Oryctolagus cuniculus: one gene and its partners. The protein of the gene in region 1 interacts with the protein of each later gene in a pairwise test. Links are inferred from orthologs where the notes say so. Each region holds a gene or a part of one and is shown in the gene's direction. Other genes may lie near its edges.

Region 1 (6,182 bases):
CTCCTCCGGCGCCAGAGGTGTGCGCGCGCCGCCGTGCGGCTCGAGGCGTTCCTGCCGCCGCAGCTGAAGCCGACGCGGATCCCCGACCCGCTGAACCGGCAAGAGGTATGGGCAAGCCCGGGAGGGGGCGGAGAGGGGCCCCGCCCGCCCACGCACGCGACCGCAGCCCCTGTCCCCGTAGCGGAGGCGCGTGGAATCTATCCTGGAGGACAAGGCCGACGGCGTCGTCTTCCCGCGGTGAGCCCTCCTTGCGCGCCTCTGCACATAAAGTTCTTCCCCAAGGCGCCCTGGTCTGTCGGCTGTGCTCCCGGGACCCCCGGGGGGAAGGGGGCGGCGTGGACGCCGCCTCCCACGGGCCCTAGGGTACACGGCGAAGGGCGCACGCAGCACAGGAAGGAGATGCAGCCGCGGGTCCGAGCCGCAGGGCGCGCGGGCCCCACAGGCGTTCTAGCTTCCCAGAGCCCAGGGCCGAGGGCCATCTTCGCAGCAGGCAGCCCCAGGTATTGTGGGCAGGGGGCAGACACCAGGGAAGGGGAGTCCCCTGGACGTCCTCCCCACACCCCACTCGGCGAACAGCACGGCTGGGCAAGGAGCCGGGTCTCTAAGCAGCCCTGCCTTCCTCCCCAGAGCCGGCTCTCGGCCCCGCCCCTCCTTCCCGCGGAGGGGCAGGCGGGGACAGCTGCAGGAGCCCCCAGACCCTTCTCCCTGCCAAGGGCTCCCACTTGCTCTGCCTGGAGCAGAGCACGGATCTGGAAGTAGAGGCCAACTGGGAGCTGGGACGCAGCAAGGAATCCTGCCCGGCGGTGGCCAGGGCCCCTCCCCTGCCCGTGTGGGGACCTGGGCCCTCTGTGCCCTGCACCGGACCCTTCATCCCTTCCCGGCTGCTTGCTGCCCTCGGCCTTCATTCGAGCCTGGACAGTGTGCGGAGCTCCCAGAGGAGGGGAGAGGGCGGGGGGGGGGGGGCAGCTGCTCAGCCCCTGGCAGTCGGTGGCTCCAGAAGGTCCTGGCTCCTTGGCCAAGCTCCCTGCAGTCTGGACCAGAATTCCTTCAGGTTACGGAGTGCCTGGGACACGTTCGTCTATTTAATAAAATCACTTGTTATCCCATCACTTCTCGGAGCTTCCATTGCTTCCTGTTTAAAGTGAGGGTCTCAGTGCAGAGCCCCACGCCACCCCACAGTGCTCTGGGGAGAGGTCATGGGCGCAGGCAGGCACGGAGCCCAACCCCGGGGGAAGGCTGGCAAGACAGTGGCCGAGGCGGCTGCCCGGAGGGGCCAGGTGGGCACACGAGCACCCTTAAGTCCCCACTAGGGAGGGGGCCAGAGAAGGTGACCAAGGAAGCCTCTGGAGGGGGCTCCCACCTGCACAGTGCTGTGGCCCTGTGCGGGGTGGGGGTTCAGGCCCAATTCCACCATCCCCAGCCCCTCCCATGAGGCCAGGGGAAGGTCTGTGCTGACCAGCAGTGGCCTGGGGAGATGGATGCAGGTGCGGGGGGAGGGGAGCAGAGGACAAGAGGGAGGGAGTGTGCCAGCCCCCCACCGGGCCACACACCTGCATTTCCCTGCCATGGAGATACACCCCAAGTGCTGCAGGACAGTGTGGCTGTGGCCAGGGCCTCCCTGTCCTCCCCTGTCCCTCTCAGGACAACTACGTGGGCTACAGAAGAGGCAGCCACCCCTGTCCAAACAGGGCCTCCTGGCCTCTGCCTGCCCAGCCAGCCCCACAGAGCCGCCAGGGCCCCTGAACACAGCCCAGGTGTCCCCACCTGTGCCCCGGGAGAGGACGCTGGCCTCCGGAGCAGAGCAGGCAGTGCTGAGGGAGACAGGGGCAGCCGGAGCGGCCCAGTGGGCAGCAGACCTGCAGACCACGGCCAGGGCGGATGCGGCTCATGCTGACAATCAGCCAAAGCACCTGTGCCAGTCAAAGGGACTGGGCTAAGGGGACACTCGGGGCCACCGCAGGGGTCAACGGGGACTCAGCCAGGCCCCATGGGCCCTTCGGCGCGCCTCGGGGTGCGAGAACCGGCGCCCCTGCTGCCCAGCAGCGCCACGGCCCAGGGACGAGCTCCGGACCCCCACCCATGCGAGCAGTCCGGGCCGCATGCGGGACCGCAGCCAGTGGCCCACAGGGGCTGCGAAGCCATGGCCCCGCACACCACAGCGCCATCTCCCGGGGCCACCGCGGCCAAGCGCGGGGGGCGCCGGGCCGGGCGAGCGCGGGGCGGGGCGGACGGCGCGAGGAAGTCCCGGCCCGCGCTTTGGGGAAGTCCGTCGCGCGCCTGCGCACTGCGCCCGCGCCCCCTCCCCGACGCCGGGGCCGGACCTCGGAGCGCGCGGGCGGCGGCGGCGCTGGCGGCTCGGGAGCGCGGCCGGTGAGTGCGCGCGCGGCGCCGGGGACGGCGGCCCTGGCCTCGCGGCCGGCCCGGCGGTGCGCGGCGTGGCCGCCACGGCCTGCGCCGGGACCTGCCCCTCGGGGGCCGCGGTCGCGGGTCCACGTGGACCCCGGGCCGCGGCGGCACTGCAGCCCGCCCCGCGCCTGGGGGAGGGGCGCTGCGGCGGGTTCCCTTTTTGTGAGCTCGGAGCCCGGGGAGAGGTTGCTTAAAGGCGGGGGCCGGAAGGACCCAGGTTTCCGCGGCTCCCGCCCCGCTAGCTTGGCGGGGAGCGGCCGGGGCGGGACTCCCTGTGCGCCCCCGCCCCCACCCCGTCGGGTCGGCCGGCAGCCGCTCCGCGCTGCGAGGCGGACCGGAGGCCCTCGCGGGCCGGGGCTCGGGACGCCGCGGGAGGACCTCCCGCTGCCCGGCCTGGGCGCTGCGGCTGCTGCCGTGCCGTGCACGCCCCTTCGACAGCCAGGGAGGGGCCAGGGCGAACCGGCCCCTCCCGCCCCCACCCCGCCTTTGGGTTGCTGGTGAGTGGGGCCCAGGACGGGCTTCTTGAGATGGGGGTGGGGGCTGCGGAGTCTGCGGGGAGGGGTCCGCACGCCTCCTGCCTGGCCCCGGGGCGGGGACAGGGGAGGGAGGGATTCCAGGGTTGGGGGAGCCTGGCCAGACCGGGGCGCCGCCCCCCAGCCCCTGGCTAGGGCAGCGGGTCGGAGAGGTCCTGGGCGGGAGCAAAAGTTGGAAGGAGTCCCTGCCAGCCCCCTCCCAAAGATTGTGACATTTTTCTGAGATTGTCACATTTTCTTGTTCTTTTTTTGGACTGGGCGGGCTCAGGGCCGTTCTTCTTCCTTGTGTGGAGCAGAGCTGCCGCCGCTCCCGAGGGAGCCCTGTCCCCAGGGGCCGGAGTGGCTCCTGCTCTCCCCTTCCAGGCCCCGGGGGTGGGGAGGAGGGAGCGTGGGTCCAGACCCTACTGCCTGAGAGAGGGGCAGGGCTGGAGGAGGGCCCAGCACCCCCGACAGCCCCAGGCTGGGGTTCCTGCCTGGGGCAAGGGCCCTGGCTGCCGTGCCCCTTCTTTGGAAACGTGACTCCCACAGGGCACTTGGTTCCCCCCAACACACTTGGCTTTGGGACCCTCCTGGGAGAGGAAGCCCAGCAGGTGTCGAGAGGCCTTGGCCCAGGGACTGGAGTCGGTGGCCCGTGGGCCTTGTCCTTTCCTGGGTGCTGAGAGCCAAGGCCAGTGGGGTTGAGGATGCAGAGGCCAGGCTTGGGAGTGAGAAAATTAGAAAATAAAATAGAACCAAGTCCCAAGCCTCCTGGCCACAGACCCTCGGGAGAGGCCTGAGGGCCCTCACCTGGACACAGCTGCGCAGTGAGGGGATGCGCCGGGTTTGTGGCTGGCTTTGGCACCTAGTGCCCCTCCCCACAGAGGTGCATCCCAGAAGTGGAAAGGCACACCCCCACAGGGTCTCCAGGCCGACTGGGGGCGGGGTGGTCTCCCTGGCTGGCCCTGAGGCTGGCGGCCGGCAGTGGCTTCTGAGCCTGCAGGTGCTGGGCCCAGAGGGTGGGGACCTCAGTGTGCCAGTGGGGTGTGAGGGTCAGGGCAGCTGCGGGCCAGAGACGCCCGACCCGGGGCCCAGATCCCTCCTCCAGCTTCCTGTCCTGCCTCAGGCTTCGGGCCTTGCCACAGAGAGGGAAGGAGCAGCTCATGTCACCACCTCCAACGACGCACAGTCCCCTCGGGAGGGGCCCAGAGCCGGAAACCAAGAAAGAGGAACCCAGGCTTCCGGCTCCCAGGCGCTGAGCCGACGGGGGTGTCCCAGAACCTCCTCTGGGGGCCTCCTCTGGGGGCCAGCCTGGGAGGAGGGGCCGGAGGCTGGGGCAGAGGGCAGAGCAGGGAAGGAGGTGTGCTGCAGGCCACTCCCGCAGGACAGCTAGGGTCTGGGGTCACAGGTTCTCGGTCAGAACCTTGGCCCCTCTTCCCAGACCCCCCGGCTGTGGTGAGGGCCTTGGAGCTGGCATCTCGGAGCCTGGGCCGCCTGCTTTACCCACCCATGCCCACCGCGCATGAGGCTGACAAGCAGGTATGCTGCTCCCTGTCTGTCCCGGCCCCCTGGGGAGGGGGTAATGAGGGGTCAAGGTATCCCTGAATACCTGGGGTGGGCAGAAGGCACAAGTCCAGGTTTGGGGGGTTCCACCTTGAGGCTGAGGAAGCCCTGTGTCCCCAGCACGCAGGGCCAGAGGAGGCAGACCGGCCGCCTTCGATGTCCAGCCGTGATGCGGCCCCCACGGCGGCCCCCAGCCGCAACCCCTGCTGCCTGTGCTGGTGCTGCTGCTGCAGCTGCTCCTGGTACGCGCGCCTGGGACCAGGCTGGGCCCGGGCGGGAAGGGAGGTGCAGAGGTCTGGCCACCTGACGTGGCCCTGGCGTCCGTATTCAGGGCCTGGTCCCAGACTTGCCGCAGCGCCAGGGCTGGTCCCTGTGCAGGGCCAGGCCTGCTGCGTGCGCCTTCACCCCTCCCTGGGTGCCTGGTCATCCTGGGGACCTTCAGTGGAGCGAGACGGGCACAGCCCTAGAGTGGGTGGAACAGAGAGACCCCAAGGAGGGAGCAGCTGGCCCTGGGCACGGGGAAGACCTGCCCAGGCAGCAGGGTCAGTGTGTGCATGAGGCCGCAGTGGGGCTCCAGGGGTGACCAGAGTGCAGGGCAGCTGCTGGACATTGTAGTCTTTGCAGAGGTGTCAGGGCCTCGGTTACTGAAGGGACAGGACATGGGGACCTCACGTGTAGTCAGCTGACCCACGAGCAGCCAGGGCCTGACAGTCCAAGCAGGACATGGTGGGTGGTGGGAGGGGTGCAGGGACCCCTGCATCAGCCAGGTCATACCCCCAGTGAGGGGAGGGAGCCCAGGAAGAGGCACACGGTCACACTGCTGAGGAGGACGAGGACCAAGGCTGCGGCCTGGGCGCTCCGGCCTGCATGGGAAGGAGCCTACAGGAGGCTGTTCTCCTGTGAGCCCCGGGCTGGTGGGCGGCGTGGGGGCCCCACGTGCCCAGGGCAGTGCAGCCCCTGTGTCTGCTCAGGAACCAGCAGCGGCGGCGAGCGTGGCAGGCCTCCCGGGAGAGCAAGCTGCAGCCCCTGCCCAGCTGCGAGACGTGGTGAGTCCAGTGGCCTGCGGGGGGGGCGGGGGGGGCTCAGGCCAGAGGCCCTGGGCTGAAGTGGCTGGCCCCGTGCCTGCAGTGCCACGCCGAGCCCCGAGGAGGTGGAGAGCTGGGCGCAGTCCTTTGACAAGCTGATGCACAGCCCTGCGGGCCGCAGCGTGTTCCGGGCCTTCCTGCGCACGGAGTACAGCGAGGAGAACATGCTCTTCTGGCTGGCCTGCGAGGAGCTCAAGGCCGAGGCCAACCAGCACGTGGTGGACGAGAAGGCGCGGCTCATCTACGAGGACTACGTGTCCATCCTGTCCCCGAAGGAGGTGGGGCGGGGGCGGCCGGTGCTGGGCAGGGGTCGGGAGGCACCGCCTGGGCCCCTGACCGTGCTGCCCTGTCTGGCAGGTCAGCCTGGATTCCCGGGTGCGGGAAGGCATCAACAGGAAGATGCAGGAGCCGTCCGCACACACGTTCGACGACGCGCAGCTGCAGATCTACACGCTGATGCACCGGGACTCCTACCCCCGCTTCCTCAGCTCCCCCACCTACCGTGCCCTGCTGCTCCGGGGAGCCCCACGGTCCTCCTCCGAGGCCTAGCCGCCCGCCCGCACAGACACTCGACGCCTCGGGCAGACTCGGGGGCGGCTGGAAGCCCCCTCGCCCAGCA
Region 2 (5,866 bases), on another chromosome or scaffold:
CTCCTACAGAGCCCACACCAGAACCTGTGCGCCTTCTACTCCCGGCACTGGGGAGCCACCAAGGGTTCCTGAACGAGGGAGTGATGTGGTAACTTTTGGCAGAGCCCCTTGGCTGCCCTGTGGAGGACGGATTAGAGGAAACAGGGGAGGCCTAGAATGGGGGAAACACAACAGGCACAGATGTGCGGGGTGGGGTTGGAGGAGGGGGGGTGGGGGTACTGCTCTGGCAGGGGATGGTGAAGTGGCAGCAAGGCCAGAGCAGGGCCCAGTAGGAGTGGGATGTGCCCTGTTCTGGACGGTGTGGGTTTGAGTTCCCCGGGAGATCAGAACAGTGGTGGCCGTGGGGCTGGCAGTCAGAGTCATCAGGCATTTAGCGCTCTGAGCCCCTGGAGTGGCTCGCAGAAGCTTGGCCACAACCTTGGGGACCCACATGAAGGAGCAGCCTGCGGCATGGAAGTAGGGGTCACTGGACTTATGGGAAGAGCACAGGACTGAAAAAAAGTGCCTGACTCTGGGAATGGCGCTGCCTGAGAGCCACAGAACCTTGGGCTGTGGCTGGAGAGGGCTGTGCCTCCCAGGGGCCCCGTCCTAACCCACCTCCATAAATTGGGGTCTGCGTCCTGCCCACCTCCCCAGAGCTGGGCCTCCGAGGGGCTGACAGGTTCTCCCTGTTGCCTGGCAACCGAGAGAGCTGTTGGCTGTTGCTAGGAGCAGCCTAGGAGGCCTGAGCTGCCAGGATCGCTCGAGGGGCGGGGCTGGCGGGGGAGGGGCCTGCCTTAGAGCCGTTTGTAGTCTGTGTGGATAGACTTGTGTTCTTGGTTGTGTACAGTCATTTTTATAATGTGCTCTGTGAATTTGAGGCATGCTGGGGGCTGGGTCTAGGTGCTGATGTAGAGGGCATATTTCTGTGTTTGCCCCTGGAGGGCATCATGTGTCTTTATCATGTTTGTTGCCTGCGCCGGGCCAGCTTGAGCTCCAGGCAGGAGGGAGCGGCGGGGGAACACTGGGAGACTTACAGGCCAGGGACTTGACAACAAGGGAGACATTCAGAGGGAGACACACAGACAACTCCCGGGAGAGCGGACAGACTCAGAACTGGGAGCCCGCTAGAGAGGAGGGGACGGGGGTGTGGGTGTGGGTGGCCACACAGGCACCCTGCCTGGCATCAGAGATCTTCCCTGCCTCTGGGCCGGGCTCTCCCAGGCTCACAGCACTAGGACCACTCAGGACGCTGCAACACTTCCCACGTTCACCTGAGGTTGGGGCTGTGGGTTCCCCCAGAAAGCAGGATTGGAAAGACTTGAAAGATTCAGCTGAAAACAGTGCTGCCGGCGCCCCAGCTTTGCCCAGCCAGAGGGGACATGGGAGGTGGTACTGACCGTGGAAGGAACAGGTCATAAGATACAAGACCACAGTCACTTTTGTTTCCAGAAGCCCGGTGGTAACGTCTCTCTCATCTCTCTCTCTCTTTTTCTCTCTCTTTCTCTCTCTCTCTCCCTCCCTCCCTCCCTCCCTCTTTCCTTCGTGGCCCGGTTGCTCGGCCCAGGCTGCAGTCTTGGGTGGCTGCTGCAGGACACCGTCTCCCAGCAGATCAGGGAAGTGTGCGTGAACTCTGATGTCTCAGAAAGACAGCTCAGGTCAAGGTGTGGAGGTGGCAATCGACTTATTTTTGTTTTTGATTTTGTTACTACCCAGAGAAAGAAAGGGAGGAAACCCGCTTAAGATTGAAAAGAAAAAAAAAAAAAAAAAAAAAACACCAAAACCGCAGTCCAGAAAGGCTCTCGGGTTCTGCAGATCCCTAAACGAGTTTATTGGGTACATTAACTAACAAGTGAGGAAGACACGCCTCCTCCCCTCTCGCCCTACTTGTAGAGGGCGGGCTCGTGCTCGGCCCTCGGGGCACCGGCTCCCCACCCTCAGGGTACTCTACCCGCCCGCCGCCGACTCCGGGCGCCCGGTACCCAATGGGAGCCCGGCCCCGCCTGCAGCCCGCCCAGTGCCCGGTCTCCCCGTTGGGCTCCACCGCTATCGCGGTCCCTCCGCGTGGCCCCGCCTCCAGCCGGCCGCAGCCGGGGCTGCGCCTCACTTTGCCTCTCGCTCCTCCCTCGAGCCAATCGCCAGCCCCGAGTCTCTTACGGTGCCGCCCCCCAGGCCCGCCCCGGCCCAGTCCCGGGCTCCGCTCACCGGGGCCCCACCCCTGGCCCGCCCCGCCGTCGGTGCGCGGCCACGGGGAAGGCGCCTCCCGCAGACGCTCGGAACTGCCGACCCGAGAGCTAACCCGCGGAGGGCCGGCGGCGGGAGCGGAGTGGGTCGGGCGGGGCCGAGCCGGGCCGTGGGCCGTGTGGGGGCCGGGCGGCGGCCGGGCCGGCGGACGGCGGGATGGGCTGCACGGTGAGCGCCGAGGACAAGGCGGCGGCCGAGCGCTCAAAGATGATCGACAAGAACTTGCGGGAGGATGGCGAGAAGGCGGCGCGGGAGGTGAAGTTGCTGTTGTTGGGTGAGGCCGCGCCCCGCGCTGGGACCCTTGACTTCCCAGACAAGACAGAGACAAGACAGAGGCTTCAGGCTCACCAGTCTGGATCCCATCTGGGCTTGAACCCTTAGCAGCCTGGCCGAGACCTGCAAATAAGGGTGGGCGATTCTGGGTTGATCTAGACCTGTGGTCCTACCCAGAGACCTGGGTAGCTCACCCCAGACTCAGCAACCCCTAACCAAGCCAGCAGTGCCCCAACATCGCTGCCCAGACCCCTGCTTGATTGTCTCTTCCGACTGACCAGCCTCACATAGCCTTTCCATCCTCCGTTAGCTGCTACCCAGACCCCGGCACCCCACTCTGCCTCCACCCTTGGGCTTCACCTGTTTCCCCTACCTGTTCCCCGGATTCCTGTTGGGCAGGAGCATCCCCAGGGCCCCACCAGCTCCCTGCCCCATTCTGTGTCCCACCCACCCTCTGAACCTGTGCCCTGCACCTGTGCACCCCGACCGTCAGGGTGGGAGCTGGCTGCTCCGGAGCCCTGTCTCTCCAGCCAGAACCTCTAGAGACCCATCTCTGCAGGCCTCCCTCGCCACACCTGTGCCCTTCCTCCCCTAAGTGCTGCCCCCTGATCCTCCACTCCTCCTGCACCAGGTGGGCCTGGCTCTGAGAAGACCCCCCGCCCCGGGGGGAGGGGACGTTTAGGCAAATCCTCCAAAGGGGCTGGGCTGAGGCTCCACTGGTCCCGCTGGGGGAGGGGGCCAGGCTCAACTTTCCAGGGAGACTCCGCTCCTTGGGAATTTGTTTTCCCGTCTCCAAGGCCTGGCTGGGCTGCCGAGAGGGAAGTATGTGAAGTGGGAGGGCATGTGGAGGAGGCCGGGGTTGTGGCTGCTTCCAAGGCCAGGGAAGATGGTGGCTGCTGGGGTGGTGGGGGAAGTGGAAGTGGTGAGACAGCCGACATGTTGCTGCCCCTGCAGGCGCCAGGGAGATCCGCTGATGGGGCCTGGGCTGTGGGCTCCGCGAGGGGGTGGGCCTGTCGGATCTTGGGGCTGTGTGAGGGGGGTGGTGGAGCTGAGCGAGGGGTTGGGGGGCCAGCTGTGATGGGTCAGGGTGCCCCCAGGCATCTGAGCTGGCCTTTTGCAAAGATTTTGGGTCTGCTGGTGGTCCCTGGCCAGCCTCCTGCTGGGAGCAGGGGTGGTGCCCAGTGGAAGCCTGGTTTGGGGGGGTTTCGGGTGGGGGCAGGCCCTCCGAACAGCGGTACAGGCTGGATAGTACGTGTGTGGGGGTGTGGTCCCTCTGCCTCGGAGCGGCCCGGGAGCCTCCAGGCTGTGAAAAGCGGGGCTTTTCACGCTGGGCCTGTGGCCCAGGAAAAGCATGTAGCTCTATTATGGGCCCATCTGTTGACTGTCCCTGCGGGCCCGGCCTCAGGGGCACAGCCCCGGAGGTTTCAAAATGGCATCCGTTCCGCGGGGAGGAAGAGAAGGGGAGGGAAGGGGCGGCGGCCCAGCCTCCTGGGCTGCCTTGCGTTGGGCGCTTGCCTCTTCCTGTCTGCTGCGAGTGCAGCGGCGGTGAGTGGGTGTCGACGCGGCGGAATGCCCGTCGCTGCCGGGCCTGGGAGGGCACTTCCGGTACCCGCTGCCTCCCTGCGCCCAGCCAGGAGCCTCTGGCCAGCCCTCCCTAGGCTGATCACGGCCCTTCTGGTGGCTGAGGGGACAGGGGAGTGGGCCGCAGGGTCAGGGGACACAGGATGCTTGGCCTGTTCTTTGCCCCGACTCCGAAGTGTCCCCCAGTCCCACCAGGCATGCCCCTGGGAGCCCAGCGAAGCTTTTGGGCCAGACCAGGTGGGACCTGGCAGCCCCTCCCCCGCTGGGCCCATAGCAGCCAGAGTGCAGTGTCTGGCTCAGCACTTTCTGGCCTGAGGCGTCCATCCCGGTGTTAGGCCTCTCTGGCCTTTGCTGCCTCTGTAAAATGGGCTTCCTGGGTTTGGGCCAAACAAGTGCTGCCTCAGGCAGGACAGAGAGAGCGGGAGTTTGGTAGCTGTGCGGGCTAGGGACTGAGACCCTGCAGAGTGTGAACTGCACGAGGCTGGGAAACCAAGCTCTGCCTGGACCGCAGGACCCTGTCTGCTGTGGCTGCTGGGGAAGGGTCCTGGCTTGAGCCGTCCCTTCCCCTCCAGATAGAAGGTGGCGGTGGGAGCCCGGCTGTGGCCGGTTCTGAGTTCTGGGCGCCTGTCTCACGTAGCGGGAGACTCTGTCCAGGCAACGGGCCTCAGGCTGGGTAACTGCCAGCCTTCTCTGTCTGCCAGAACCACGCCTGCTGCCCCACCCGCACGCTGGCTCCCTCTCGTCCCTGGTAGCCCTGCCAGGAGGCGGGCACAGTCGCTGTCACCAGGGCAGGGGCAGATGTAGTACACACTGGCACGAGGGTTTTTCCTGGCAGCTTGACGCAGAGGAGCCGCTACCACTCCTGCTTCAGGGACGCCCCCCACCCCTACCCAGTTCAGCTCAACTGACCAGCAAGGCCCATATGGAATCTGGGGCTTGAGGACTGGCGCTTAAGGGGAAGGAAGTCAGAGTTGCTGGGGGAGGCTCAGCTGTAAGATGGGATCGTGTGTGTGGCCAAATGTGTGGAGACGTGGAAGTAATGAGCAGCAGTTCCCTTTCTGCGCCCGGGACTTTGCGTCTGGTGAGCTCCGCAGCTTACTCGGGGCCTCTCGCAGCAGCCTTTCCCCGCCAGGGCAGGTCAGGCATCTCCCTGGCTCCTGGTTGCCTCCCTCGTGGCTGCGGGGGTAGGGCTGTGTCCCCTTCATTCCTGTGCCCAGTGTGCACCTGGCACCTGTTGGGTGCTTCTCACCTGTTTGTTGCATGAAGAAAGTGTCCTCTTGGTGTGAGGACAGACTGGAGGAAGAGTAAGATGGGAATCGCTGGGCCACAGTGCGGCATGCTGTGGTGTGGGCAGGTGGCAAGGGCCCAGGGGACACTGAGAGCAAAGCTCTTCAGGTTCTTCCTCCTAGCCCACCACACGCTCCATGGGTCCTTCCGAGTCAACCCTGTCCCCTGCAGAGCTAAGTGCCGCCCAGCCTCAGCCTGGCCCAGTGCACGGCGCACAATAGGGAGGACCCCAGCTGTCCGTGTGGGAGAGCGACTGCGTTTTTCCTTCCGATTCAGGCTGCTTGCCGACTGCTTCGGAGCTGCTGTCTCTCTGTCTCTCACCCTCCAGTAGCTCCCCTACAGCCTGAGCTGGCTGGTCCTGCTGGTGCGGACTGGGCCTGCCCTCGGAGCTGCTGGGCCTGGCCAGCACAGAGCCTGCACGGAGAAAGGGCCTGCCAGGTGAAGTTCACATGAGGAGTCGTGGCCGCTGTGCTGAGTCTGTAGCACAGGGCTGTGCGTACTA
Region 3 (5,396 bases), on another chromosome or scaffold:
CACTTCCCACCCAGCTCCCTGCTAATGGCCTGGGAAAAGCAGTGGAAGATGGCCCAAGAGCTTGGGCTCCTTGCCACCCACGTGGGAGACCCGGAAGAAGGTCCTGGCTGTTGTGGCCATCTGGGGAGTGAACCAGTAGATGGACGATATCTCTCTCTGTCTCTCCCTCCCTCCCTCCCCCTCTCCCTTTAACTCTTTCAAATTTAAAAAAGGAAGCAGAATGTTTGTGCCCAGAAGCCCTTTTTGAACCGTGAAGTGCCGTGTGTGTGTGCAAGTGCCAGAGATGGCAGCTGTGTGACTTCCCCCAGAGCCTTGTGAGTCTCCAGCAGGTTTACTTACAGCCGCTGAAAACATGAGGGGAAGGGAGAAGAAGCCCGTGGATTATGCAGAGCCTTTCCTGCAGGCCCAGTGCTGTCCTTGCCTGCACAGTGTACCTAAAGCAGTTCTGCTACAGCCCCTCCCAGAGGGTGGGCCACAGGTCACAGAGGAGTCAGTAGGAATTCATCCAGTCGTTTTATTATGTACACACATACACACACACACACATACACACTCACACACACATGTGGTATGGCTTTGGTGCAAAGTGCATCCTGGTACCTTGTAGAGCTCTATTGTTATTATTTTAAAAGGCAGAGTAACAGAGGCACAGAGAAGGAGAAAGATCTTCCATCCACTGACTCACTCCTTAAATGCCCACAACAGCCAGAGCTGAGCTAGGGTGGAGTCAGGAACCAGGAACTCAGTCTGGGTCTCCCACATAAGCGGTAGGGGTCCAAATACTTCAATCATCGTCTCCCCCCTCCCAGGGTGCACATTAGCAGGAGGCTGGCGGGGAAGCACAGGCAGGACCCCAACCCCCGGCACTCCCATGAGAAATGCAACTGTCTCAGCTTAACCTGCTGCATTGAAGCTGCACCAGACACCAGCCCCTTGAGGTTTGAAGGTGACCTGAGGGCTTTTCACCAGGTGTGCTGGCTTGACCGCTGAGCCCTCTGCCCCGCCCACCCTGAGGTCCCGGGCTACTGTGACCCTCAGTTAACTTTAGCTCTCAAATAACCAGAAACCTCCTCTTTCCCCCAGTGTAGCCCAGTTCTGGGGCTTTTGCGCCACCTTGGGTAAGAAGTGTAGGAAATTGTAACTCTAGCCAAGGATATTGATTTTTAATTTTTCCCCCAAGCAAAAGTAGCGTGCAGAGACCCAGTTACGAGAGTAGGCGAGAGCTGAGCGATGGTGGTTGAGAGGGTGGAGACACAAGCCCGCCGGCCTCCCTTTCCGCTCACGCACACCCTCGGACTCCAAGGGCAGTGGTCTGGGCCCCCTGCGCCAGGGCTTCCACACGGAGGAGGCTCCACAAGGCCCTCGGAGACCAGAGCTCCTGCCTCTCCTGGGTAGCCTGCTGCTGTGCTGGTGGGGGCCTTGTCATAAACCCAGCCCCCGCCCCGTCCCAGCCAGGTGGGGCCCTTGGCTGGCCAGGGGTTTCCTGTCACCGCCAAGGCCTCCAAACCATCTCCGTGTCCCCTCCCAGGCCGACGCCAAGATGGTGTGTGACGTGGTGAGCCGGATGGAAGACACCGAGCCCTTCTCTGCAGAACTGCTGTCCGCCATGATGCGACTCTGGGGTGACTCAGGGATCCAGGAGTGCTTCAACCGGTCTCGGGAGTATCAGCTCAATGACTCTGCCAAATAGTGAGTGTCCCGGTCAGGGACTGCCAGGGCAGGGTGGGGTGCGAGGGGCCAGGGGCTGCCCAGGCGGGGAGGGGTGCGTGGGGCCGAGGTCACAGCATAGTGAGTGTCCTGGGCCAGGGGCTGCCCAGGCAGGGAGGGGTGCAACGGGCCGAGGTCAGAGCATAGTGAGTGTCCCGGGCCAGCGGCTGCCCAGGCGGGGAGAGATGCGTGGGGCCGAGGTCACAGCATAGTGAGTGTCCCAGGCCAGGGGCTGCCCAGGCAGGGAGGGGTGCGAGGGGCCGAGGTCACAGCACAGTGAGTGTCCCGGGCCAGGGGCTGCCCAGGCGGGGAGGGGTGCATGGGGCTGAGGTCAGAGCTGAGGCAGAACCTGCTGTGAGGGATTCTTCCACTGGTGCTGGTGGCAGGAGGCGTGAGAGGGGCCTCTCTTCTGCCCCCAGGACAAGGAAGAGGCCAGGGAAAGCGGGGACAGGGACACGTAGACCTGAGAGTGCCTGGCAGCCCTGGAGGAAGGTTCTCGGTGCCGCAGCTTTGGTTTGGTTGGTTGGTTTTCTTTCCTCAAGAGCCCCTGACTCCAGAAGCACAGGGCAAGAGAGCCATGTGGGCAGAAAATTCTTTAAATGCTGCCATTCTGTATTTTAGAGATAATGGTAAACTTTCCATTTCTCTATGTTTAAAATGTAAAATGATGAAGAGTAGAGAAGTGGGAAAAGCCAGGGTGGTCAGAAAGGGGGCCAGCAGAGAATGTGCTGCAGGCCTCCACAGGGGACCGTGGGGTCACCTGTGTGCCCCTGACCGTTTGTCCCTTAGCATCTTCAATGGTGCCCTCACTGGACACCTGCCCTTGGCTCCCAGGCCGAGGCTGTGAAGCCCTGGGAAGGTGGGCGTGGGCCGGGGGCATCTTCTGCTCTGAAGATCAGGGCCTATACCTGGGCTTTCCAGAAACACATCCCGCTTGGACAGTGTGGTCCCCAGGGGCCCCGGCCTAACCCGCTCCGAGGACAGACACAGTCTCCCCAGCCCCACCCGTGTCTCTCTCAGTCCAGGGGACACTCAGCAATGGCAGGGGACACTTTTAAATGCCACGACTAGGCTAGTGCCCCCGGCAGGCAGTGGCTAAAGGCCAGGGATGCTACTCAGCACCGTACAGTACCCAGGACAAACCTCACAGCAAAGCATTATCCAGGCCAAAACACCAGCCGCATGGGGATCAGGAGACCCTGATCCGCACAGTGCCAGCGTGGCAGAGCCCAGGGCCAGCGAGACAGACTTGCTGATGGACACGTGCCTGCTTCCAGTGGCCACGATGGCAGCCAACAAACCTGGACTTGAAGCAGGCCAAGAGCTTCCTATTCTGCACACCTGGTTGTCCACAAGGCAGAGGCCTAAGTGGGTCCTGGGAGCCTCAGCTGGTGGCCACCCAGGGTCCCAGGTACTGAGGAGCCCCAGGGACGCCCTGGGAGCAGGAGAGAGCCCAGAGCCTTCCTGCCCACGGGCCCCTGCACGCTTCCTTCACAAGCCCAAGCCAGGCTGAGAGGATGATCTCTGGCTGGCTCTCTGAAGGGGACCCCCGGAGGACAGCAGGGCTGGCAGCTCCTTCCCTCCTACTGCCAGGCCCAAGTCCCAGACCTCCTCCCCAGCTGCCAGCGGGAGCCTCCAGGTCTCCCAGGGGCAGCTGGCCTGAGTTTGTCTCCCGGTGATTCATCAAATGGTGTTCTCCACTTACATTTTGACCTATTTCATTAATCATCAAATGAATCCATTGCAAAAAAAAATTTTTTAAACAATAGCGAGGTGTATAAAATGAAAAGTGGTCTCCTGCCCCTCTAGGTCTCGTCCCTCCACCGCAGAGCGGTTTCCACTGCCGCGTCCCAGTGGTGTCCAGACAGAGTGGGCCTCCAGCTGTGCAGTGTTTCCAGACTCCCACCGTGAAGCCGGGGGGTCAGCTCCCCTCCCTCCCACCCCTCTCCACTACTACCTCCAGTTCTTTGCTGGTTGCAGGATTATTTTTTTTTTAACTTTTATTTAATGAATATAAATTTCCAAAGTACGACTCATGGGTTACAATGGCTTCCCCCCCCATACCGTCCCTCCCACCCACAACCCTCCCCTTTCTTACTCCCTCTCCCCTTCCATTCACATCAAGATTCATTTTCGATTATCTTAATATATAGAAGATCAGCTTAGTATACCTTAAGTAAGGATTTCAACAGCTTGCTCCCACACAGAAACATAAAGTGAAAAATAATAGATGATTTTTTTTAAATGATGATGAAATCAGATCAGACCTATTGTCATGTTTAATCCCAGTGAGAGTCAAGTTGGGAATTGATAATTTTTTTTTTTACAGAAGATCAGTTTAGTGTACATTAAGTAAAGATTTCAATCGTTTGCACCCCCATAGAAACACAAAGTGAAATATACTGTTTGAGTACTCGTTATAGCATTAAGCCTCAGTGTACAGCACATTAAGGACAGAGATCCTACATGAGGAGTAAGTGCACAGTGACTCCTGGTTGCAGGATTATTTTTAGTCCTGCTGGTCACCATTATAACTTTCAGTAAGGCTCTTGAGTTGGTATTTGTCAACTCTGTCCCCACTAAGCTGAGGAAATTCACCCGCCTTCCCTCTCGGCTCAGCATCCTGCCAAGTGCTGCCCTGCCAAGGTTTCACAGTTCTCTCCTGCCTTCCACGGTTTGGTCATCCATGTTCCACCTCCAGGAGAGAGGTCCATGGCAGGGAAGACAGGGGTACCCGACAGTCAGAGTCAGGAGTATCTTTTTTTTTTTTTTTTTAAGATTTATTGATTTATTTGAAATGTTCAATGAGAGAGTGAAAAAGAATGCCAGAGAGGGAGCAGTACCTTCCACCCACCGCTTCATGCCCCAGTTGGCCACAACAGCCAGGGCTGGGCTGAGCTGAAGCCAGGAGCCTGGAACTCCATGTGAGTGGCAGGGGCCTAAGCACTTGGGCCATCGTCCGCTGTTTTCCCAGGTGCGTCAGCAGGGATCTGGATCAGAAGTGGAGTAGCAGGGACCCAAACTGCCACTCCCATGTGGGATGCTGGCAGCCCAGCCCACTGCACCACGGTGCCAGCCCTGTCAAATGTATCTTAAATGCGGTCTGGTCCAGGGCTGCATTGTGGTAACTATTTTAGCAGTTTAGCCTCATCTCGGACCCAGTACATAAAACAGGTAAAAACAGATGTGTATGGGTTGGGGTAGAAAGGAGGCAGGCCCGGCAGTGCAGTCACACTGCACACTTACAGGGGGCGCTGTGTGCATCCTACAGCCCCCCAGTCACCATGGCTGCAGCCCTGTCCTTTACAGGTGAGGACCCAGGACTCAGAGGGAAAAGGGACAATGCCTGGCGTGGCCAGGCTCTCACTTGTGCTCAAGTGTGCCTCAAGCCTCAGTGAACGGGGCTGGCTCTGCCACTCTGGGCAGATCCCACCAGGGGCCACGCAAGTGAGTTCCCTGGCTTGGTGAGCTTCGGTTTTCCTGAACCAGCTCCCCGCTGCATTGTCTGTGCAGGCAGTCCACGTTTCCTCCCCTCATGCGCTCTCCTGTGCCCCTGTGGGCAGCCTCTTACTCCCGGTCCTGTGGAGACACCCAGCCAGCTGCGCGGTCACCGCCTCCTGTGTGCTCCCACTCGGGCCCCAGGCCTTCTCCCTCGGCACCTTTCCACCCGGCCTCAGCCGCTCAGAGTG
Region 4 (4,292 bases), on another chromosome or scaffold:
AACAGTCCCCTCTTACTCTCAGGTGAGGAAGGCCGCGGGAGACCCCCTGCCAGAGTGGTCCTCCCACTGTGGCATCTGGGTTTGCCCCCTGCAAACAGCCCAGCTCGGACCCCATATCCAGCTGTGGGAACTTCCAGTGCCCACCTCTGAACATGTGCAGATGATTACTTCCTGCACAGCTGCCCCTCAGAAGGAGGAAGCCCCTCCAATGCCGGGCAAATTCCTTTGGCCACCTCCAGTGGGCCCTGCGCCAGCTCTAAGTCCCACTCAGTGGTGCCCAGAACCAATATCTATCCCATTCCTGACTGTGCAAGAGCACCTGCCCGGGGGCGGGGGGGCAAATGGTGTCTCCATGCCACAGCAGCCGGCTGGCACAGCCAGAGACCTGTGCCCCTGCTTTTCAGACCACACACCTGGGCTGGGGCCACAGCCCGCCTTGACCCCTGCCCATGATCAGTTGCAGAGCACAATGAGAGGGGCGATGGGGTGATCTGACCACATAAAGCGATAAGGAAAGAGCTGACCAGGAGTGTGCGTTTCACAGGGAGGCTGCGGGGATGCATAAAGCTTCAGGTTACCATGATGGAAAGACAGCAGCATTCCTAGCTGGGGCACTCTGGCCTGACCCTTTTAAGCACGGAAGTGGAGGGGTCCTGGCCCTGGGGCCCACAGATAGGCTCCTCCTGAAACCGAAAGGAGAATTTCACAGCCTGTCAGGTGCATTTGAGGGTCCCAAACACACCTACGGGGGATGGGGGAGGGGGTGTGCTGGTGTTACAGGAGCTGACTCCTTTCTTTTCCTCGGGTTGGGGGGCCCAGCTCCTAGACCCTTCCGCCTCCCATACCTCGCAATGCAACCTTGCCTCGGGCCAGGATGGCCAGGTGTCCCCAAGACACGCGCTGGGAGCAATCACCGCAGAGATGACGAATGTCCTCTCCCATTGCTGCACAGACCTCACCGCTGCACGCCTTTGGGATTTCCATAGGCCCTTCACACGACCCAGCGGACTGCAGCGACAAACCAGGGAAGCAGGTGTCGCCAGCCTCACTCTGCAAAACAGCAAGGCTGAGAGAGAGGTCAGTCGGGTGCCCAAGGTCGCGGAGCTCAGAAGGGGCTAGGCTGGTTTCGAACCCTGGCCGGGAGAAGGAGCCCGGGGTCGTCCACAGTGGAGGGGACCGGGGCCACCGCCGAGGGTGGTGTGTAGCCCCGGCCACAGCGCCACGCAGTCGGGGAGTCGCCAGAGCGGGCAGCGCGTGCGGGACTGCGGCGCGCGCCAAGCCATAGCCCCGCCCCTGCCCGTCGCCATTGGGCTGCTTGAGCGTCCGTCAGCCGCCCGCGCCCAATGGACAGCCAGCCGGCGCCCGTGGTGGGGCTGTGGCGCCCGGCGCGTGGTGCCCAGCGGGCGCGCGGCACCCCCCGCCCGCGGTTGGCCTGGCAACGAGCTGCGCTCGCGGCTCCGCCCCCTGCCGGCGGCGGCGCGGCGCGGCGCGGGGCGGGCGGACCCGCGGGCGGGTGGCGGGCGGCGCGGGAGGGCGGGCGGAGGGAGCTAGGCCGGCCGGAGCGTGTGCGCCGCCCGCGGTCCGGTCACGTCCCCGCGCGGGTGCCGCCGCCCCGCGTCGTGCGGAACGAGGGAGCCTCTGCCCAGCGATTGCCGCGCCGCCCCGCCCCGCCCGGGAGCAGGTCGGCAGATGCACGGTGCCGCGGCCCTGAGGTGAGTGAGCGGATCCGCAGCCCGGGGCTCGAGGCTGAATCTGGGGTGTCGGGGGCGCGGCCCGGGCGTCCACCCCACCCCCACCTGGGCCTTTGTGCTCGGGATCCGCCCGGGCGCAGCGTCGAAGATGCCCGGCCGGGGTTGGGGGTGGCGGGAGCGGGGGTGCCTGGTGTGTGAGGCAGGGGGCGGCTGCGACGCCGGCAGGTGCTGGGGGAGCGAGGTGCGCTGGGCCGAGGAGAGCGGCTGCGGGCCGGGGGTGGATGGGCCGGGGGCACCGGTCTCTCCTGAGCAACCAGTGGTGCGGAGCCTGGGCCGGGCGGCTTGCGGGAGCGGTGCCGAGGCGGGGTCTCCCTCGGGGGATGCTGGGCGGCGGAGGAGGGAGGGGAAGGAGGCGACCCCGGGTGGTCGAGGCGCCGACGCGTGGCCTTGGCTGAAACCTAGCAGAAGAGCCAGGGAAAGGGAGGCCTGGGCCCGGGACTGACGACTCGCCGTTCTCGGTCATTGCTCTGGGAGCAAGCAGGTTCCTCTGAGCCATGCAAGCGAGACGTGAGTATCGACCTGCTGCGATTAGAATACGTTCCTGGCTCAATATTATTATTATTTTTTTTACCTTAAAAGGCGGTGAGGTGTTTGGGGGAGGGTTGTTGAGGCCTCCTGCCCGGGCCTCGGTATCCTGCGGCGATCTGGGTGGGGAGGGAGGGGGCCTCTGCCTTTAGTGCGGTGCTGAGCCTTTCTGGGTGATGGTGGCGGAAATCCGCCTAGGCCGAGGATTGGGGCTCCCTGTTACACGGAGAGAAAGGATGAGAAGGCGGTGCCAGGCGAGACCAGGGTTCCCTGGAGCCCGCATCTCTGGGTGGGGAGACCTGCCTGGTGGGTCTGTCTACACTGGGGAGACGGCCCCTGACCTGCTTCCTTCTGCCCTGCCCTAGGGGATCTCATCTCTCTACCCTGGCCCTGTCTGGAAGAAGCTCCTTGGCGAAATTCAATTAAGCAAATATTTACTGAGCGCAGGCTCCCCCAGGGCCTGGCGCTGGGGTGGACGGGGTGGGAGTGCAGTCGGCCTGCCCTCCCTCCCCAGGGACTGACTCCCACAGGGGAGAGACAGACGTCTGTGCTCTGATAACCCAGCCCTGATTGCCGGTGCCCAGGCCTCAGAGAGGTGCCCGGGGCTTGGGTCAGACCGGCCTGTGGGCAATGTGACATTTGAACTGGAGCTTGAAGGACATGAGCACAGCTGGGGTGGGCTCTGTGGGCCAGGGGGATGGGGGCACAGAGGGTGCCTGGCAGTTGGGTTTAGTGGGCGCCTGGTGTGTAATCAGGAAGGAGGAGGAGGGGTGTGGCAGGGAAGGCGGGTGGGGGCTGCACAGCCCGGGAGGGGCCGTCCTGTGGGTGCTAGGGAAGTGGAGCAGCCCCAGTACTTATTTGCAGTGTGGCTGCAGACGGCAGGTTCCTTGCCTATGAAAGGGGTGCAGTTCTGTGACCCTGTGAACTGGGGTAGGCTCGGGAAAGAGCTTTAAAGATAGGAGAGAGCCCCCTTGCAGCCCGGGACTCCTCCTCCCAGGCACTTTATGTCTTGGGCAGGGCCGGGGCTCTGGGTGACCAACCGCCCAGCTCTGTTCTTCACGGGGATGGAGCTGCCTGCTTTAGAAGGGGTGATGCTTAGCTGGTGACTGTGCCTTTGGGCTGTGGCTGTCTGAAAGCAGCAGCCATGGCGGCCAGGGAGAGTCCGTCTAGGGGGTGGGGGTGCACAGGGCCTGGCCATGCCTGGATGGAGCAGTGAGCCTCCTTCTACGGGGACCGTGAGACACTGGCATTTGGTCTAAACTCATCCCGTGTGTTCCTGACAGACGTTGCCTTTGTGAGACAGAAGCTGAATGGGACGTGGTTCCTCCCCCTTGGGAAGCTGCTGTCCCCTCCTGCCCTGGATCTGCCCCCTCGCTCCTTGGGGGTGCTTCCACCCACCCTCTAAAGTGCTGTTTGCCCCTTGTCTTTGTAACATGCCTGCCCCCAGACACACACACACATGCGCGTGTACACACACACACACACACACACACACACAGGCATTGGGCTGAGGCCCAGGTTGCTGCAGCGAGAGCAGGGCCAGTGTGCGCTCGCCAGGTGTCCAGTCTGTACTGAGCAGGATGAAGCTGCTTCACTGTGTGCCCCTCCCTCTGGCCTGTTCCAGGGAGCCTGCCGTGGACTCCAGGGTTGGGACAGCAAATGGATACCTTCGTCTGTCTCCAGCCTCTCGGCCTTTCTGTTTCCTGGAGCCGGGGGGCAAAGTGCCTTGGTCTGGATCTCAGGAGCTTCTGGGTGATTCCAGGAGCATCGTGGTATCTGGACATATTTGGCCAGGCTACCCAGGGCTTGGGGGGATGAAGCATCCCCCTGAATGCCAGGGAAGGGCTGGTCTTGGATTCAGGGTGTGGCCTCAGCCTCGCCGCTTGGTTGTCTTTTGTGTGAGCATGGATGACGGTGTGTGCAGCCCTGTGCTGTCCCATGCTGGCCTCAGAAGACCAAAGACTCTGGGTGGCTGTAAAGGTGTCCCCGCTGCTGTTGACCATGGATGGCTCCCAG

The links.
Region 2: the proteins of RGS19 (region 1) and GNAI2 interact in a two-hybrid assay, tested with the Homo sapiens proteins (2 studies listed by BioGRID and IntAct). The link is inferred for Oryctolagus cuniculus from reciprocal best matches to the Homo sapiens genes RGS19 and GNAI2.
Region 3: the proteins of RGS19 (region 1) and GNAO1 interact in a two-hybrid assay, tested with the Homo sapiens proteins (2 studies listed by BioGRID). The link is inferred for Oryctolagus cuniculus from reciprocal best matches to the Homo sapiens genes RGS19 and GNAO1.
Region 4: the proteins of RGS19 (region 1) and GNAZ interact in a two-hybrid assay, tested with the Homo sapiens proteins (2 studies listed by BioGRID). The link is inferred for Oryctolagus cuniculus from reciprocal best matches to the Homo sapiens genes RGS19 and GNAZ.

What each region holds. Positions count from the first base shown.
Region 1 is NC_091442.1:133,611-139,792, forward strand, and holds the start of RGS19 (regulator of G-protein signaling 19), read left to right. Parts: upstream 1-2,228; 5' UTR 2,229-2,370; intron 2,371-2,389; exon of another isoform or gene 2,390-2,903; intron 2,904-4,356; 5' UTR 4,357-4,424; coding exon 4,425-4,454; intron 4,455-4,598; coding exon 4,599-4,720; intron 4,721-5,449; coding exon 5,450-5,524; intron 5,525-5,606; coding exon 5,607-5,841; intron 5,842-5,920; coding exon 5,921-6,112; 3' UTR 6,113-6,182. Other genes in the region: protein LKAAEAR1, read left to right, coding at 1-105, 182-237, 628-1,432. UniProt on the Homo sapiens protein: Inhibits signal transduction by increasing the GTPase activity of G protein alpha subunits thereby driving them into their inactive GDP-bound form. Binds to G-alpha subfamily 1 members, with the order G(i)a3 > G(i)a1 > G(o)a >> G(z)a/G(i)a2.
Region 2 is NC_091441.1:99,082,224-99,088,089, reverse strand, and holds the start of GNAI2 (guanine nucleotide-binding protein G(i) subunit alpha-2), read left to right. Parts: upstream 1-2,163; 5' UTR 2,164-2,379; coding exon 2,380-2,497; intron 2,498-5,866. UniProt on the Homo sapiens protein: Guanine nucleotide-binding proteins (G proteins) are involved as modulators or transducers in various transmembrane signaling systems.
Region 3 is NC_091449.1:40,107,380-40,112,775, forward strand, and holds part of GNAO1 (guanine nucleotide-binding protein G(o) subunit alpha), read left to right. Parts: intron 1-1,528; coding exon 1,529-1,689; intron 1,690-5,396. UniProt on the Homo sapiens protein: Guanine nucleotide-binding proteins (G proteins) function as transducers downstream of G protein-coupled receptors (GPCRs) in numerous signaling cascades.
Region 4 is NC_091452.1:31,634,064-31,638,355, reverse strand, and holds the start of GNAZ (guanine nucleotide-binding protein G(z) subunit alpha), read left to right. Parts: upstream 1-1,492; 5' UTR 1,493-1,712; intron 1,713-4,292. UniProt on the Homo sapiens protein: Guanine nucleotide-binding proteins (G proteins) are involved as modulators or transducers in various transmembrane signaling systems.